Drosophila melanogaster: one gene and its partners. The gene in region 2 interacts genetically with the main gene of each other region. Each region holds a gene or a part of one and is shown on either strand. Other genes may lie near its edges.

Region 1 (5,043 bases), on a different chromosome or scaffold from region 2:
TCTGGGTTTACAAAGTTCAATCCAGGAGTGCGAAGAAAGCGCGCCAAAAACTCACCATGCCAAAAGTACGCGTAAAGTAGGCGTTGCAATTTTTCCGGAACTAGCAACCGGAAGCCGGAAACGGGCCCAAAAACAAACGGTGCTTATCTTGTTGAGCGATCGTCGCACTGCTCCGTTCTCATTAATATCCAACACACACTTTCCACATCAATTCTAACATTCATAAAAAACTAAAACTGCGCCTGAAACGCTCTGAAATCAGCTAGCAACTACTGTACCAATCGGGTCTTGCATCGTATCCACCGATACCTTCGTCGGGACGAACCTTTGGTGCACCTGTCATCGATAGTAATTACGTCCCGATTCGAAGCGAGATAGCGATATTCCTGCAACCGTTCTTAACCCATTTCATCCAAAAGATCCCCGATCCGATTCATATTCGTATTCTTATAAACATTGGAAATCCTCTTCTATTGATTCGAGAAAAAGTAAGAGCTCTTATTTTAAAGTGATTTTTATTAAAGAAGTCAACAATGAAGAATTTATTTCGTACTACATACTAACATAATCGCTATCAGAACCGATTAAGCAGCGACTTCCAGAATAAACGTGCTGGCAGTAAGGTGTCGCGGCCTACGCAGCTCTTGTGGGTTAGCCTATAAGATGGGAAAATTATTATATTATTATGGGGATTGATAAAAAGAAGGGTCCGCTCCATGAATACTGAACAACCAACAAACTATAGCTAGGTTTTGAAATAAAGAAGTCTCAATAAAGGCAAATCGTACTTATAACTGGATAAAAATAACATCTTAACTACAAAAAGAAGCTGGTTCTCTCCTGTGTTTGTCGTAATATAAAACAAAGCAATATAAAACAAAGGAACTCACAGGAAGTTGGCACGGCGGAGGCGCTCCAAATATGCATCCGTGGCCACGGCGGAGAGGAAGATCTTGCGCACCTGCGGCGGCACCTTATCGTGCAGCTGCCTGGCGAGCTTTAGGTGCGTATTGGCGGCACTGGCCACATCGAATATACAGTCCTCGACACCCTTGTCGTCGCTCTTAGAGCGAATGATGCGCTCCTGGCTGACGCCATGCAGCACCAGCACCTCGAGCGGAATGCAGGGCGCCTGCTGACGTCCTGCCAGCGGTATCGATCGCAGCAGGGTGGCGATGCCTTGGGCCTTGCCCAAGTGGGAGGCGGCATGATCAGCATTTAGGTCACGCACTCCGCCCACCTCCAACAGCAGGAGCAATAGCGAAGAGAAGGTCTGTTCCGTGTACTCCTCCAGCTCGCGTATCGACTCAAATGCATGCGTGGGCGGACGTTCCCGTGCTGTGACCAGACGGCGCAAATATACCTTATTTAGCTTGCGACTGCCCACCGTGTGCTTCAGTTCGCGCAGGACAGGCTGGTCCTCCACGTACGATCTTTGGGAATCCGGCTCAAAGCACTTGTCTATGGAGTCGTGCCAGAACTTAAGGCGCATTTTGGCTATTTGCGGCTCAATTTGCTGCAAGGATATTTGTCATTATATAAACGATTTTACTGGACAGAAATAAGAAGTTTAAAAACTACGAAGTGTTGCTTATTCTACGAATTTCTCTATCCGTTTTAAAGGAAGGAGAGAAATTATACTCTTGCAGTGTACATAAGAAATTAAGAGATTTGTGAAACCGTTCGAAATGGTAATAATATTCATGAGATGCGGACATAAGCCACTTATGCTTACAATAATATTGATGCGGAGTAACAGAGTCTGAACGGAGTCTGAATTTAAGGCGCCACGTTATTCTAACTTAAAAAATAAGCCCCAAGGAATTTCGATGCTCCACTCACATGGCCGCTAACCGATCTGGAGACCTCCACATTGAATGCCCGTAGGGCGAAGGCAGCACGTCGCAGTTCCCGTGGTAGGAGCAAGGTGCACAGGTAGTTCTCGTAGTCGTATTTCCTGGTTATCCGGAATAGATCCATGTTCAATTATACGGATAACTTCAATCGACAAGTTTGCGCTACTTACTCCACTAGACTCATGCAATGTTTGGCCCCGTATCCATTCTTGTCCGCCTCAATCACTTTCTTTTCCCTGGGAATCGCATTGGTCTTGGCCTCCTGGTGAATTCCGGCATGGCTGACAATTTCTTGGCCGGATTTGGCGTTAAATAACAATCGGCAATTCCAATTTCGCACCAGGCGCCGCATCTGTGCTTCTTCTTTCCACCAGACAACTGAACATATGTTCTGAGCGGTGCTGCCAGATCGCACTCGGTCTGTCAGAAAGTTACTACATATGGGGTATTCGCGATTACGCGGAAATTTCATTTGGCGGAAGATTCAAAATGCTGTATGTGACTTGTTGGTAAATTTATAATGCATTATTATAGCTTAGCTTAGGTAGTTTACCATATAAAGCTTAGCTTAGGTATATAAATACATTATCTTCCGTAAATATTGCTTTTTTGCCATGCGTAATCTTCTTGACTTCTTTTCTTTTTGCTGTGAGGCCATTTTTAGACAAGTTATAGCCAAAAAAGCCAACTTGAAAATTGAGTTTTTTGCCAAAAGTAGTTTCCAGATTTTTTGTGAAAAAAATATTCGGTATTTTGATCAAAACATTGAAAATAATGACTCAAATATGGAATGTCATACCTCGTTGAGTTTGTTTTTTAAATCCCAATCGATTTGCATTCAAGTTTGGGAATTCTAGAATTTTTCATTTTTTTGCAAATTTTGATGATGGTACGTACCCCTTACAAAAAATGCGAAAATTTGTCCAAAAATTAATTTTACAAAATCAATTAAAAAGTTAAAGGGATGGTTAGTGTTGATCATAAGGAGTATAAAATGGTAATTCTTTTTGCTGTGAGTCCATTTTTAGTCAAGTTATAGCCACAAAAGCGAACTTAAACATTGAGTTTTTTGCCAAAAATAGTTTCCCAGTTTTCTGTGAAGAAAATAATCGGTATTTTGATCAAAACATTAAAAATAATGACTCAAATATGGAATGTCATACCTCGTTGAGTTTGTTTTTTAAATCCCAATCGATTTGCATTCAAGTTTGGGAATTCTAGGATTTTTCATTTTTTTGCAAATTTTGATGATGGTACCCCTTACAAAAAATGTGAAAATTTGGCCAAAAATTAATTTTACAAAATCCGTTTTAAAGTGATAGGGGTTGTTAGTATTGGTCATAAGGAGTATAAAATGGTAATTCTTTTTGCTCTGTGACCATTTTTAGACAAGTTATAGCCAAAAAAGCCAACTTGAAAATTGAGTTTTTTGCCAAAAGTAGTTTCCAGATTTTTTGTGAAAAAAATATTCGGTATTTTGATCAAAACATTGAAAATAATGACTCAAATATGGAATGTCATACCTCGTTGAGTTTGTTTTTTAAATCCCAATCGATTTGCATTCAAGTTTGGGAATTCTAGAATTTTTCATTTTTTTGCAAATTTTGATGATGGTACCCCTTACAAAAAATGCGAAAATTTGTCCAAAAATTAATTTTACAAAATCCGTTTTAAAGTGATAGGGGTTGTTAGTATTGGTCATAAGGAGTATAAAATGGTAATTATTTTTGCTCTGTGACCATTTTTAGACAAGTTATAGCCAAAAGAGCCAACTTGAAAATTGAGTTTTTTGCCAAAAGTAGTTCCCAGATTTTTTGTGAAAAAAATATTCGGTATTTTGATCAAAACATTGAAAATAATGACTCAAATATGGAATGTCATACCTCGTTGAGTTTGTTTTTTAAATCCCAATCGATTTGCATTCAAGTTTGGGAATTCTAGGATTTTTCATTTTTTTGCAAATTTTGATGATGTTACCCCTTACAAAAAATGTGAAAATTTGGCCAAAAATTAATTTTACAAAATCCGTTTTAAAGTGATAGGGGTTGTTAGTATTGGTCATAAGGAGTATAAAATGGTAATTCTTTTTGCTCTGTGACCATTTTTAGACAAGTTATAGCCAAAAAAGCCAACTTGAAAATTGAGTTTTTTGCCAAAAGTAGTTTCCAGATTTTTTGTGAAAAAAATATTCGGTATTTTGATCAAAACATTGAAAATAATGACTCAAATATGGAAAGTCATACCTCGTTGAGTTTGTTTTTTAAATCCCAATCGATTTGCATTCAAGTTTGGGAATTCTAGAATTTTTCATTTTTTTGCAAATTTTGATGATGGTACCCCTTACAAAAAATGCGAAAATTTGTCCAAAAATTAATTTTACAAAATCCGTTTTAAAGTGATAGGGGTTGTTAGTATTGGTCATAAGGAGTATAAAATGGTAATTATTTTTGCTCTGTGACCATTTTTAGACAAGTTATAGCCAAAAGAGCCAACTTGAAAATTGAGTTTTTTGCCAAAAGTAGTTCCCAGATTTTTTGTGAAAAAAATATTCGGTATTTTGATCAAAACATTGAAAATAATGACTCAAATATGGAATGTCATACCTCGTTGAGTTTGTTTTTTAAATCCCAATCGATTTGCATTCAAGTTTGGGAATTCTAGGATTTTTCATTTTTTTGCAAATTTTGATGATGTTACCCCTTACAAAAAATGTGAAAATTTGGCCAAAAATTAATTTTACAAAATCCGTTTTAAAGTGATAGGGGTTGTTAGTATTGGTCATAAGGAGTATAAAATGGTAATTCTTTTTGCTCTGTGACCATTTTTAGACAAGTTATAGCCAAAAAAGCCAACTTGAAAATTGAGTTTTTTGCCAAAAGTAGTTTCCAGATTTTTTGTGAAAAAAATATTCGGTATTTTGATCAAAACATTGAAAATAATGACTCAAATATGGAATGTCATACATCGTTGAGTTTGTTTTTTAAATTCCAATCGATTTGCATTCAAGTTTGGGAATTCTAGGATTTTTCATTTTTTTGCAAATTTTGATGATGGTACCCCTTACAAAAAATGCGAAAATTTTGGCCAAAAATTAATTTTACAAAATCAATTGAAAAGTGAAAGGGGTGGTTAATTATTGAAAATAGAAATAGAGAAATTGTTGCAAAAATAAGTCAAAAGCATCTGA
Region 2 (8,737 bases):
TGTTTAGGTTGTTTGGTTTCTTCGTTTGAATATCATCATCTTACACATCCTTTTGCTGTTGCTCAACGGAAGGATAACAAGCGATTGGGTGCGGGTGGGCATGGGGATTGATTAAGATACAAAGATACGGATGAGAACGTACGGATAGTAGTAATAGTAACTGGTAGAATCAGCAATATCGGTGAGGCATTCGAACTCTGAAACTCAGGAACTCAACTAGTATTTGATCGCTACTAAAACACTATTAACATATGGGGCAACCAACGAATCCGAATCATTTCTAGGCCTCCTCGCACTCCTCCTCCTCGCGCTGAACAAACAACCGATGGTTGCGGGCCTCCAGGATGGACCACACAATCAGCGGAGTGGTCCCGAGCACCATGCAGGATCCCATGCAGTAGAAGCATATCTCGTAGTCTCCGGAAAGGTCTCGCATCAGTCCTGCCAGCGGAGGCACCGATATGGCCCCGATGCTCTGGAACATCCTCACCAGCCCGTAGCTCGAGCTGATCCTGTCCGTGCCAAAGACGTCCGCAAGGAGGACCGGCATAAGTACATACCAGCTACCCAGGCAAAGTCCGTAGACAGCGGCCGATAGACCCACCAAAACCAGAGTCTTGGCGAAGGGAATTGTGAGCACGGCACATCCGGCGCCCAAAATGCTGTCGATATAGGGAAATGTGATTAGTTTGGATCGAAAAATAAACCTTATCTGGTACTCACCACAAGGTGTAGGTCTTCTTGCGATCGAATAGCTGCAGGTCGCACAGCCAGCCAAGTCCAAGGCGCCCAATTAAATCTAGGACCGCGCTGATGGCCACCAGGTATCCCGCCTCACTTTTATTGTATCCTAAAGATGAACCAAGTTTATAATATTTAAAATCGTACGCCGAAAGAATATACTTTGAACATTTTAAATAGTATACCTATTGAAATAACGTGGGCGGGCAGATAGTACAACATGTAGGGACAGCCGACGGACATCAAGGTGACGGATAGGCACATCAGGATAAAGCTCGGGTCCTGCAGCAGACTGATGTCCAGGTACATCTCGATGCGCTCGCAGCAAGTGCGTGGTCCCCGCTCTTCGTCGTCATCGTCATCCTCATCGGCGGCAAGGTGGCCGTCGCCATCGATAATGGACTCCACCAGCTGGGAGTCTAGAATGCCGAGCTCCGCCTGCTCCACCGGCTGCTGCTTGAGATCACTGAGGTTGCTAACCGGAGTGGGTATCTCCATGCTCTTGCTGAGTCCGCGACTGACCACACTCGGCGGCGAAAGAGGCTTCTCCAAGTGGGCTTGTATCTTGGATATCACCTCGTCGTTGGCAAAGACATTGCGCCGACGACGACTTCCGCGATTGGAGTCCGTGCCGGAGTGCTTGCGATAGACCCAAGTGGAGTCCGTGCTCAGATCTTCGACGGAGTGCAGCAATCCGGAACTGCGCACCTTCTTCATGGGCTTGATGAAAGTGGTCTCGCCAATAATATCCTTTACCTCGTCGTCACTCTCCTGCGCTGACTTGTCCTGGGCTAAGTAACCAAATGGGATTTATTATTTGGAGTTTTCCTCGATGAAATAATACTCCCACCTGGCTGCTTGCTGGCATAGTAGTTCAGGTGGTTCTTGGACTCCTCCAGGAACAGATGCTCGATAAACTTGTCGCTCAGCTCGTGGCCTGCACCCACATCGCAGGTGTCTAGGTAGGTGGATGTAGTCAGAATGCCCGTGGTGCTCGGATTGATGTCTTCGTTGAGGGGCTTTGCCGTCTCCTCCTGTCCCTGGCCCGAGTCCTGATCCGTGTAAGCACTGATTGGGCGGTAAAGTGTGGCCGAAACGCACACGTGAAGCATGCAACCGCCCAGGATCAGAATAGTGCCGTGGAAGCCACAGTTCTCCGCGAGGTGCTTTATCAGAACGGGTAGGATGAAGCTGCCGGCGGCAGTGCCCGAAACGCAGATTCCATTGGCCAATGCACGGTGCTTGTCAAAGTATTGGGACACTATCACTATGCCCGGAGTAGTCGAGAGGCCACCTCCAATACCTGGGCGTGAAGAAATAGTTAAATATAAACATCATGATAACTAAATAAATATAATTACTAATGTGATGAGGATAAATTTAAATTGATTATACATTATGCACCTGTGAGTACGCCAAATGTTAGGAGGAGGTGCAGCAGACTGGTGGCAAAGTAGCTCAGTATCATGCCCATGGCGCAGAAAATGCCGCCGACGAAGACCACCGTTCGGCAGGAGAATCGCTGGCAAAGAGCACTGGACAGCGGGGCCAGGACCAGACATAGAGCCGACAGGATCGCTGGAATCCAGGAGGCCACGGTGGCCGTAGAGCTGGGAAATGTCTCCATAATCTCCACATACAGCACGCCGTACGACTTGACCAGTCCGGCCACCCAGAATTGCACGGAGAAGGCCCCAAAGACGATGAACCAACCGTAACCGCCGTCCGGTGGCTCCACATTCGGACCACCGCTCTCCGTTGTGGTCGTTGAGGAGTCCCGATCCTTGACCACTTGCTTGCTACGCCTGGCGACGGTCACGCGATCCCGCTCGCGCTCCTTGGCCCGGCGGACGCACCTGCTGCGGGCCGTATTCAAACCAGATCCGGAACCTGAACCCGACTTCCGACTGCTGCGAAGCTCATGCGATTTGGCAATCAACGGTCGCGCCGTGATGCTGGACACGGTCAGCAGGTTCTCATTGTCGTCCTCCTCCAGCTCGGAGATCTGATGCTCCAGCAGGCTGGCGTGCAGGGTCCTCGGGCAGCATTGCGTGTCCAGGCTGAGGGTGGCGGGTCGTCGCATGGGCGAGGCGTTGGGTGAACAGCATCCGGAGCGGAAGGCGGCGGACTCCATGTGTTTGCCATCCATCTCGGTGGGCACAACGATGTCGGGCAGTGGAGCCGGCGGCGCTGATACCACCGAGAACAGGGAGCCGCATTCGAGGCCGACTCCGCCACCGGACCCGTCCACGCCCGCCCCTCCGCCGGAGCCCTCAGCCGTCTTCGTGTGGAGAAGGCACCCTCCCGACTCGTACTGGACTCCACCAGTTGGGTCCGGTTCACTCGCGCAGTAAACCGATCCCCGGGAACCCTGCGAAAAACATAAATAGTATTTTTGTATCGTTAAACATTAAATATGCTGGTTATCTAGTGCAATATTTAATATAAATCTATGAAAGTGTGTTTAAGATATGGAGTATGGAGTATGGAGGGATGTTTTTTTTAAATAACAATTAAATAACATAACAAGTTAACGAAGTAAGCAACCCAAGAAAATGGGCCAATTTAATTGCGAAAGTTCTTATCAAGTAGTAGACATCAAAAGTTAATGTCCCAAATTGGCGTGCATCCAAAAATTCCGCCTCCGCCGTAGCATTCAAAAATGGGTTAAACCCCGTCAGAAATCCGGGGCTGTTGACAAATCGACTGGAGGCGGGTCAAGGAAGCAACAACTTAGCCCAATTTGCATTGCTAAACGAAATGCGAGGAGCGCACGCGATCTGCCGCCTTATAGACGACATCGCTGCAACGACCTAATGTATGCAATACGTTTTGTTTAATTGAGTTAACATCCAGTTCCTTCCCGATTCCCGCTCCGCTGGGCTATGTAATTACCCGCGGACCGAGCGGATTTTCTTGTTATATGTACTTTGTTAAATCGATGCCAGGCTGCAGGTGCATGCTGTGCCTTGCGGGCTGGCATGACGTCTGGGAATTTTCCATTTGTCTGCGGGATCCGCTGCCACTTCCTCCCACGAAACCTCCATTTTCCGACGACTCAGGGTCAAGAGCGAGGTGGGTCTGGTCTGGCATGCGGTTGCCTTTCAGCACTTTTTTAGTTTCTGTCTTTGTTGCCGGAAATTGATGGGGGGTTCGATTGGCCCCAAAGGAGCAGTGGTGGGTGTTTGCTCCAATCCAAGGACGATGCAATGCTCGAACCGAAGGCTAATGCCAGGAAATATACCCGTGCTGATAAGACGCCAATCTTTGCCAAGCCCTCGTAGAAAGGACACAATTGGAAAGCAGTCAAAAACGAAATTCGGTAAGTTGATGTAAGGTATTATTGGGTTTACAGCCATGCCAACAGCTCAACTATACATACTAACTAATATATACATTTAAAACTTTATGTTATATGTGCACAGTTAATATTTTTACCTCATATTGAACTATTCCTAATTAGATTTCAACACCTGCCCCCTTAATATTTATGTGCTGTCGCAATCTTATTGTTATAACCAACAGTTCGTAATAACTCATTTCCTAATAGCTTCTTATTTCGCACTTAGTTGTCCCGCTCCCACCTATTTCTTGGTACTTCCAATGACGTACGTATACGAAATATGATACATTGCTGGCATCAAATATCAAGTATGCGACGTGTGTGCCCATTAGAAAGAAGGATTGGTGCCCAACGCTGGTTAAACCTATGCACAATATATTAGGTGAAGCGCTCTATCCTTAGTCAACCTTTTTATTTGCTTTTACTTAAGTATCCTATCTAAGCATGTCAGTTCTTAATGAGCAAATAATCAATAATTATTATAACGAATAAATATTGCATGGTAAATGTAACAAATCATAACATCACTTATGCTTAATAAAGCCAAGTAAATTTATATAATTGAATTCTAACTTTGAAAGTAAATTTAATAAATTTGTCTTTTGTTTACGTGGCATGTCATTTGTCGAACTTCGTGCCGCTTATGAACTGTCAGCCATATTGATGGTAGAAATATGCCAAATAGATGGCATGCAATATTCTTGAACGAGTGCAAAATGCAGTCACACATCTGACACGACTAATGAGCGTTGGCCAACTCTTGGCATTTGGCAACTCCCCCTCAAGAGCATGAGTCACAGCATCCTAGAGCCAGTGACCTTGTCGAATGTCAAAGGCCCACGTCGCCGTGGCATGCGATGGTATACGATATCCTGGACGCCAAGAACCCCCAAGACCACCCTCTGCTGTCAGCTGGAATCCGGCTTAAGCTGTCAGGAAGCTTTCGCTGGGGCAGCTCTGCAATCGCTGGTTGTTTTCAATTTCCCAACATTTCAAGGCCTTTGCCAGCGCTTAATGAAACGGAAGAACCTTCCCCCGGGCCAAGTTAGTTGGCGCTCGTGTGTGGGCCTGAACGATAAGCGGTCAAGGTGAAAGGGGTGGCCTCAAGTCGGCTGGTCGAGGGTGGTATCTAGTCGGGGAGGGAATCTAGTGGGGAGGACTTGACGCACAACTTGTTGAGCCACCCGTAATTGCTAGCCCTCCGTAATAATAGATATTAGGTTGCACAGGCCTAGGCCAATTAGTTCACCCAATCAGCAGGACATTGATGCTTAAGTGTAGGGATGCTGTACTCCCATATGCGAGTGTAAACACCTACTTAAATTTGGCTCAAAATTCATGTTTTAAGTGTTTACAAAATCAACGATTGTAAGTGTAAGTATAATTATAAGCATAATAAAAAGTTACTTTTCATTTGTGTCAAAACTAGTAGAAATGAACACTTCTATTCGATTTAATAGGTGTCATTAAAGGTCAACACCATGCCACGACTGAACTTTGGCTTGTGGTTTTCGGTCTTTCCATCAGCAGTCGGGGCATGTATTGTTTACTTTCTTGTCCCCGTTCTTCTAAAGCGACTAAGATGGATGCAACTTGTGACGTTGACCCATTCTCCTGTCGCTTGCAATGTTTACGTACTCGTAAAACACTCTCTGGTCCAGTGCGCATGCTCACCAGAGGAACCCAAACTCCAGCTACCTCAATACGATTGCCATTGGCCCACTCCCCAGAAAAGGCAGCGAGGAGGAATCAAGGGGGATGGTTCCTGACCTTCCCAAAGTAAGGATAATGGGATGCTGGGTAGTACTACTCACCTGTAAATGCCAGTCACGCTGTAGGGACGACATTGCCGTCCTTTACTGAACGTGAAACGCCTTTGATGTTTCTCTTGTTGCTCGCGCTGTTGTTGTTGTTGCTTGGGGCGTTGTTGTTGTGCACCCAAATGCATTGGGTTGCCTCTGCTTTGGGTCCTTAAAGTCCTGAAGAGCTGACGTTCGCGGGCCTTCACCGGTTGGCCCAAAATAAATACTCTCTTGCTACTGCTGCTTCTGCCGGAACGGCTCCTTTGGCACTGAATCCTTTGCGGGTTCGTCTTGATGGTTTGTTCTCCGAATCGATTGCGATTTTCGTTCGCTTTTTCTTGAGGGCTTCCTTGAGGAACTTGTATGGGTTTTCCTAGGGGCAATATCCTTGCTGCTCTGGCGTCATGATGCGTTGATGTGACACACAGTATTCCCTGTTACTATTGTTTATGCAGCAGCTGTTTCCGCTTCCGCTTCCTTGTCGCCCCCTTCCGTATCCGTTTTCGGCACAAGCGCACTCTCTCACTCACTCGCTGGCGAATATGCAGTTTTTGGAACAAATCGATATGGGGCGAGATTCCAGCTGAAGTCCTTTGTTCTTAGCTTACTCAATCACAATCGAACGAATTGGATCCTTCCAGTGAGTTAAATTGGTTAAAAATACGCCTGAAGCTATTGAACACTTTCTCTGATTGGGAAAACCCTTTGCAAAAGCCTTTTTATTTTTCGTGAGTACTCTTCGTTTGTTGCCCTTTTTGGCGGATGCGACTGTTCTGCTGCTGCTCAAGCTCACGACTAAACTGATGATACTCATGTCCTCTGGAGGTCCATTGAAAACCCAACTCAGTTAAGGTGAACTTGGTGGTGGTGAGTTTCGGCATGGAAAAAGGAAAAACAAGAGTAAGAGGTCCTCTCTTCCTTTCCATTGGTTTTCATCCGTTTTGTTTTGCTAGGTTCTTTTGGCCGCCTGTTGCCAGAACCACCTACTTTTATTTCTGAAAACAGCTGATGAATGAATTACGAATTGCCTTACGAATTAAAGTCACACAAATTTAACAAATGTAACTTTACAATTTCTCATGCTAGATTTTCATATACCTATAATTTTTCAATTTTAATCAAAGTAGGTGTATTCGTTGCTCTTGATTACTGCACGGCAAATTTATAATATAAATCCAAAACTAAACGAGAACACTTTGCATTGCTCTATAGAGAAGTGCGTAGTTCTTCCAGGCTTTTGGTCATGTTCAACGCCACTCCAAGAAATATAAAGCTGATGGCCACAGATGAGAAAACGGCAGCCGGTAGGTTCTTGAGTAGCCACTGCAGGATCATCGTGTAGACGGCAATGGCCATGAGCAGCATGCACATGTATGGATAGGCCAGCCATTTAATGAACTGCAAAATCACAGGATTCTTAAGAATATTTCCTCAATTAATTTTGCTTCAGGTTAACCTTCCAAACTGCAATAATCAACAGGAGCGAGGATAATGCATAGAGAGCCGATCCGGTGGTCCACACAATCTTTACCGCTTCAGAGACACCTGATAAACTGGTCATGAAAAGATAGCCGGCAGCCACGCCCGATATACAGGATACGCAGGCCATAATGGAGACGATCAGCCTGCAAGTCGGCAAAAGTCTCTTATATGAGAATTCCTGTTCGCTCATGTGTTTGATGTATTTTAAGTCACTTAACACAATGGATTTTGAATTTTTTTATATTGAAAGCAAATCATTTTCATAAAAAAATTTTAATTGTTGTTTTTGAGTTGTTCAACAGTTTTCTTTGTTTGACGTTGAATAGTTGAAAATGTTCAAAACTTTCGCGCCCAAATAAGCTTGCTTATCGGTATTATTGATAAAGCGGCCATCGATAAGTTCTGCAATCGATTGCGATTAGCTTTTGGTATTTCGATTTTTTACGCAGGTTAATTTGCGCACAAGATTCCCAGACGTGATTAATGCTGATTTCTGGTCTGGACTACACAGCATTGCTGGTATAAGGAGTCGGGACCAGAGGAGTAAGATTTCGGGAAGGAATCCCGTCCGGTAGGGACTACTAGCATTCGCAAGTGACGTCCAGCAACCGGAGGACCCCCAACTGTAGAATCCGCATCACCATCCTAATCCCAACAAACCAATGACATCTTGAGACCTCACCAGCCATGGATCCCTTCGTGTTCTTCATAGTACTGGCATCGCTTTATGGCGTTCTTTACTTTTTCGACCGCTTCTTCAAGGTGTAGTATATCCAGCCAAAGTACGTCCAGATACTTAATGTAATCCCTTAGAGTTGCATGCACTACCCGTACGATGCCTTCCTCAAGAACACCGGGCTGAGTATAAATTTCATGAGCCTCCACTGGCACACGAGTGCCTTTAACAGGACCCTCCTACGCTGGGGATCTGCCGGTAACAGCTGCACCCGGAGAGTAATGATCACCAGCTTTAATGTAGGAGTCCTGGTCACCTTTTCTCTGCTCCCGATCGGTCTGATCCTGCTCATTGCCACTATCTTCAGCAGTGGTGAACAAGACAGCTCTTCGTCTGTATCCTCGCCCGTTGGAGTCCCTGTGCAGCTGGAAATTCTACTGCCCGGCGTCAACTTGCCGTTGGAGGAGATCGGATACTACATCACAACCCTTGTGCTCTGCTTGGTGGTGCACGAGATGGGACACGCCCTGGCCGCTGTGATGGAGGATGTGCCTGTCACCGGGTTTGGAATAAAGGTTAGAATGATATAGCGTACTTTACAACCTAATACGCTTACTAATTAGGTAAATATTAATATTTCAGTTCATCTTCTGCCTGCCGTTAGCATACACGGAGCTCTCCCACGACCACTTA
Region 3 (4,722 bases), on a different chromosome or scaffold from region 2:
TGGCGTATGTGTACTCGCCAGATGGACGGTTCGCCCAGGCGGAGCTGGCTGTCACCAAGGATAATCCGGCTATTTCCATGATCGACGATTCCGACGAGGATGTTGTCTACGGTTCCGACGAGGAGTCACGGCGACCGCTCACCTCTGTGGGCGGCGGTGCTGGAAAGAACGATTACGACAGCGATTGATCGGCGATTAAGAAGTATCCGCGGCAGAACGAATACCCAAATGTTCCATAGCGCAATTGAAGTTTTAGTGCTAAATGTGTACAAAGTATTCCCTAATATAATGCATAAATTAACTTAAAATTTCAAAAAATTAATCTCTGGTTGATCAATGAAACTGGAGAGGATCGAAATATGTTTGGGTATTCATGATTAAGCTGAATTCGAAATTTATGTTAAAAAAAAAGTATAAATAAACCCAATAGTTCGAGTTTTGTTGTATGAAAAGTATTTACAATCGATATTTACCATATTCGCTTTTTAACTAATTGGGTTCTGATTATTTTACTAGACTGTTTATTAGATAATTAACACATTTCGCCAGGTGATTTCAACTCGAAAGCATAGCAAAAACCCTCTAGATGCCCTGGTTGATGCCTATTTTCGTCTTGGTGAGGAGACCCTCGTCGCCCATGTCTGCATTGTAGCCAGGACGGTACTTCATGCCGGGAGCCTGTGTGCAAAGGGGCAGAATTAATGTGAAAAGAAATCGAACAGGGAAATGGAAACACCGAACTTACATTGAACCAGACATCACGCCAGACTTTGCCGTCGTCAGCGCTGCGCACCAGCTCCGGGACATCGAAACGCGGCACATTGAAGTAATTCATCAGATCGGGCTTCTCATGGCAGTACTTGATACGGGCTTCGCACCACTCGGCCTCCAGCGGGAAACGCCAGTCGAGCATCTTCTTGTTGTGAATATCGGCCTCAAACTGGTTGAAGTCGATGCGTTCGATATCCTCCACCACAACCTCAGTCTCACCGCCGGCTGTCCAGTCGTAGATGAGCAGCTCGGCATGGGTGGAGATGTCCTTGAGGTACTGCTGCTTGTACAGCTGCTCCAAATCGCTCAAGTAGGCATCGCTGAACACCTTTGACTGCACCTCGTAGTCCACATTGCGTGCCTTGATCTGCTTCTTCACGGCATCGACCGGCAGATCCAAGTAGATAACCAAATGCGGCTTCAGCAGCTCCCCGATGGTGTTCTGTCGGAGCTCATTATACACGGAACGCGCACCGCGTGACAGATAACCCTGCCGAAACATGGCCTCCATGAAGACAAAGTCCGAGTAGGGGCTGCGCTCGAGGACAACACCCTGGCCGGTGCTAAGGACGTGCTGCAGGGCATCAATGTACTGCGAATAGCGCAGCATGTACATGCGAATCTGGAACTGGGCAGCCAGATCGTGGCTGGGATCCAGGCAGAAGTTGCGCACATCGTAGCTTCGGCAGCTGGGCGGCAACTGAGGATCCAACTTCCTCATGTCATAGCCGTACGAATTGATGTAGATTAGGTCCAGATCAACTGCCGGATAGTACTCCATGTCCAGCTCCTCAGCCAGTTCCTTGGCGAACTTTGACTTGCCGGCCGCGATGGGTCCCTCCACACAGATCACCTTGGAGTTCTCGTCAAAACGCTTGGAGGTCTTGTCGAAAATAGCATTGAACACGCTGTACTTCTTCGTCTTGTACGGATAGGGGGCGGCCTTGGGCACCCGTGGTCCACCTCGCATCGTCTTGCCGGAGATGCTGCATCGCTGCTGGAAGGCAGCAGGCAGGGCATTCGTCTGCGCCTGGAGTAGATTGGGCGACTGTGTGGCGCGGCTGACGAGCCGCACCAGTCCTACGCGGAACACGGCGGTCATTCTGAAGGGAAAACAAGGGTCAGTACAAAAACGAAACAAGATAATAACAATTATATCTCGTCCAGTGGCAATTTGTCGTGTGGTTACATCACAGGAGCTACGCAGGTAGTGCGGTAATCTCTGCCCTAGAACTGCAGATATGCGGATCTTTTCGTTGCATTCTGCTGGCCAGCATTGCGGCGCTCCATAGATTTACCCAAATTGTCGGTTTTAATGCTCTATCCGGTGGTATTTACTCACTTTTCAATCTAAATATCGGAAGTCTACCCAAAAACAAATTTCGGGCTATGGTTGGTGTTGGAAAACTCCCCGAATAGGGCTGTCAAGGTATCCGTTCAAATATCAAAAATGTAAAATCAAAATGTTTGTCTATGCTTTAACTGCGACTTTTCTCAGAATCAGAAAGAATTTCATATGAAATGAAATTTAACCCAGTATTTTAAAAACTTTATATAACACTTACAAAATAACATTTTAATGTATAAATGTATTTGTTTTACTTTTTAAAAATATCGCAAAGCGACTGCTCAACACTACACAGCACAGCTGGGGTGTTTAACTACAAGTTAATTTACTTGAAATAAATTCAACAATGCTTTTCATTTGTAGACAGACACACACCATAAACTCACATTGCCGTGCGGTGCGAGTTGATTTTTTAAATTTTTAACTTAACATATTGTCACGGTGCAGAAACAACTGGTCCACTTTCCGTTGGTCTGGCAGCCCTGACCACAACCTCGCTGCATTTTGGGCTCAAAAGTTCTAACGATGAACTAACGAAAATATAAATCAAAATTTAAGGCGAAAGGCTCCAGGAGAAGATCGACAAATATCGAGAGTTGTGACCATTAGGATCGAGTAAGTCCTGGCGTTGGGGCCCAGCACTGGGAGTGTAACCCACTCCTTACAGTTACGCAACTGAGAACTAATGCGATTTTCCTCGTGACACAGATTTTGTTATTAACCAATCCCCAGCAGAAATGGGCAATACAGCCATCACCCGAGTGCAAATGGAGGCCACGAAGAGTGTGCCGGTGGACCACGCCAAGTACATGAGCGGCAGTGGTGCCCCGCCACCAGAATGCCCCATGCATCAGAAGCATGGAGATGCAAAATCGGCCTCCGCCGTACCCCCACATCCCAAGATGCAGGCCGCTTCCGAATGTCCGGTGCAGCACGACAACAGCGACGTTAATCCGCTGAATATGATGCCACCGGCAAACCAACAGCCGGCGGCAGATCAGCCCTTTCCACTGCCCACCGACCGCCAGACGTCGACCATTCCCAAAGTCACCGAGGATGGCAGCGTTCAATTCTGGCAGTATCCCAGCCAACAGATGTTCTGGAACGCCATGCTACGCAAGGGCTGGCGCTGGAAGACCGAGGACGTATCGCAAAAGGACATGGGCGACATCATACGCATCCACAATGCCAACAACGAGCAGGCCTGGCAGGAGGTACTTAAGTGGGAGGCGCTTCACGCCAAGGAATGCGGCAATCCGCGCCTCAAGAGTTTCGGTGGCAAGGCCAAGGACTTCAGTCCGCGCGCTCGATTCCGCAGCTGGCTGGGGTGAGTATACTCCAGACGGAAGATCTCACCTGAATTAATGTTCGAATTGTCTTACAGATACGAGCTGCCATTCGATAGGCATGACTGGATAGTCGATCGCTGCGGCAAGGATGTGCGCTACGTCATCGACTACTACGACGGTGGACTGGTGGACAAAGACTACCGCTTTGCCCTGCTGGATGTGCGCCCAGCCATGGACTCCGTGGACAACGTTTGGGACAGAATGCGCGTAGCTTACATGCGCTGGAAGTACGAGCTGTTTGAGAAGTTTGGCAGCGCGGATGGCGGCAAAGTGACCGCTGGTAGCGACTAGATGGAATGCATATTTAGATGATCGCTATAGGTACAAAATCGGCTTAAGTTATCGAATGGATGGAAGAGGGAGTTTGGTTAAATGCGTTTAAGACGCTGCGAAGCGAAACGATGTTGAGCCCTCTCTTTAAATAAATGTTGAATCTTGACTTCTGAACACCAAAATTCGAATGTGGTTTTGCTTTTTATTTTATTCTTTACTTAAATCCTTTTAAGGATTTCGAATTATCCAGTAACGAGTTGATAGCATTGTGGAGGAATATATTAATTAAAGTTTTTTTTTATTGATATACTTATGTATATGCAGAATTCTCATCTGTTCAAAATGCCTGTAAAAATTTTTTTTCTTAATCTTTAGTTTTATATTTTATTTATATGCTCTTTAAAATGATTGCGAAATTATAAAAATACGTTTACTACTTTTTTATCATTACTACAAATTTAAAAAATGTATAGTAAATAGAATATAACTTTAGACGTTTCTTAACTTTTTTAACATACATTTTCTGATAAAAAGTTGATATGCAACCCATAACATTATATGTATGTTTATATGTATGATGCTTTTCTAACACCTGCGGCTTCAGGGGGTTAATGTCTGGCAGTGTTGAAAAGCGCGTGTAAATTCTTTAACTGATTGCTGGTGCCCTCATTACGTGAGATTCGAGTTTGGCCACTGGAGCGTTAATTGGATAGCCGCGATAGATTCGTTCGACGTAAATCAGTCATAAATGCAAGCTGCCAGAATGAGGTTCGTTCAATACCTGCGAAAAGGTGACTTGGCCAAGCGACTTGGTCTACTGTCCGAGGATCAAAAGTCGCTGGTGGAATTTGCCGGCTTGGAGGGTGTGCCCAGCGATCTAAAGATCCTGATTGCCCAGGATCCCAATCTGGAGGAACTGGCGAAGAAGGCCGAAAAGCAGCCGCGACTCGAGGTGAATGATGATGTCACTTTGCTGCCGCC

What was found. Genes that interact genetically often act in the same process or in processes that back each other up.
Region 1: of Sln (region 2) and sicily, changing one suppresses a phenotype caused by changing the other (phenotypic suppression), as found in Drosophila melanogaster (one study listed by BioGRID).
Region 3: of Sln (region 2) and ND-42, changing one suppresses a phenotype caused by changing the other (phenotypic suppression), as found in Drosophila melanogaster (one study listed by BioGRID).

Annotation. Positions count from the first base shown.
Region 1 is NC_004354.4:11,889,203-11,894,245, reverse strand, and holds sicily (severe impairment of CI with lengthened youth), read right to left. Parts: upstream 2,515-5,043; 5' UTR 2,209-2,514; coding exon 2,027-2,208; intron 1,958-2,026; coding exon 1,843-1,957; intron 1,517-1,842; coding exon 891-1,516; intron 657-890; coding exon 575-656; 3' UTR 501-574; downstream 1-500. UniProt on the Drosophila melanogaster protein: Involved in the assembly of mitochondrial NADH:ubiquinone oxidoreductase complex (Complex I) at early stages. Interacts with cytosolic Hsp90 to chaperone the Complex I subunit ND-42 in the cytoplasm.
Region 2 is NT_033778.4:11,843,272-11,852,008, reverse strand, and holds the start of Sln (silnoon), read right to left. Parts: upstream 6,686-8,737; 5' UTR 5,932-6,685; coding exon 5,899-5,931; intron 3,113-5,898; coding exon 2,146-3,112; intron 2,045-2,145; coding exon 1,592-2,044; intron 1,533-1,591; coding exon 927-1,532; intron 851-926; coding exon 724-850; intron 663-723; coding exon 281-662; 3' UTR 1-280. Other genes in the region: CG43190 (uncharacterized protein), read right to left, coding at 7,093-7,284, 7,343-7,495; S2P (site-2 protease), read left to right, coding at 8,056-8,130, 8,182-8,619, 8,687-8,737.
Region 3 is NT_033777.3:22,025,172-22,029,893, reverse strand, and holds ND-42 (NADH dehydrogenase (ubiquinone) 42 kDa subunit), read right to left. Parts: upstream 2,186-4,722; 5' UTR 1,874-2,185; coding exon 746-1,873; intron 679-745; coding exon 583-678; 3' UTR 501-582; downstream 1-500. Other genes in the region: CG13409 (uncharacterized protein), read left to right, coding at 1-188; Cchl (cytochrome c heme lyase), read left to right, coding at 2,857-3,446, 3,504-3,759; CG6028 (uncharacterized protein), read left to right, coding at 4,490-4,722. UniProt on the Drosophila melanogaster protein: Accessory subunit of the mitochondrial membrane respiratory chain NADH dehydrogenase (Complex I), that is believed not to be involved in catalysis. Complex I functions in the transfer of electrons from NADH to the respiratory chain.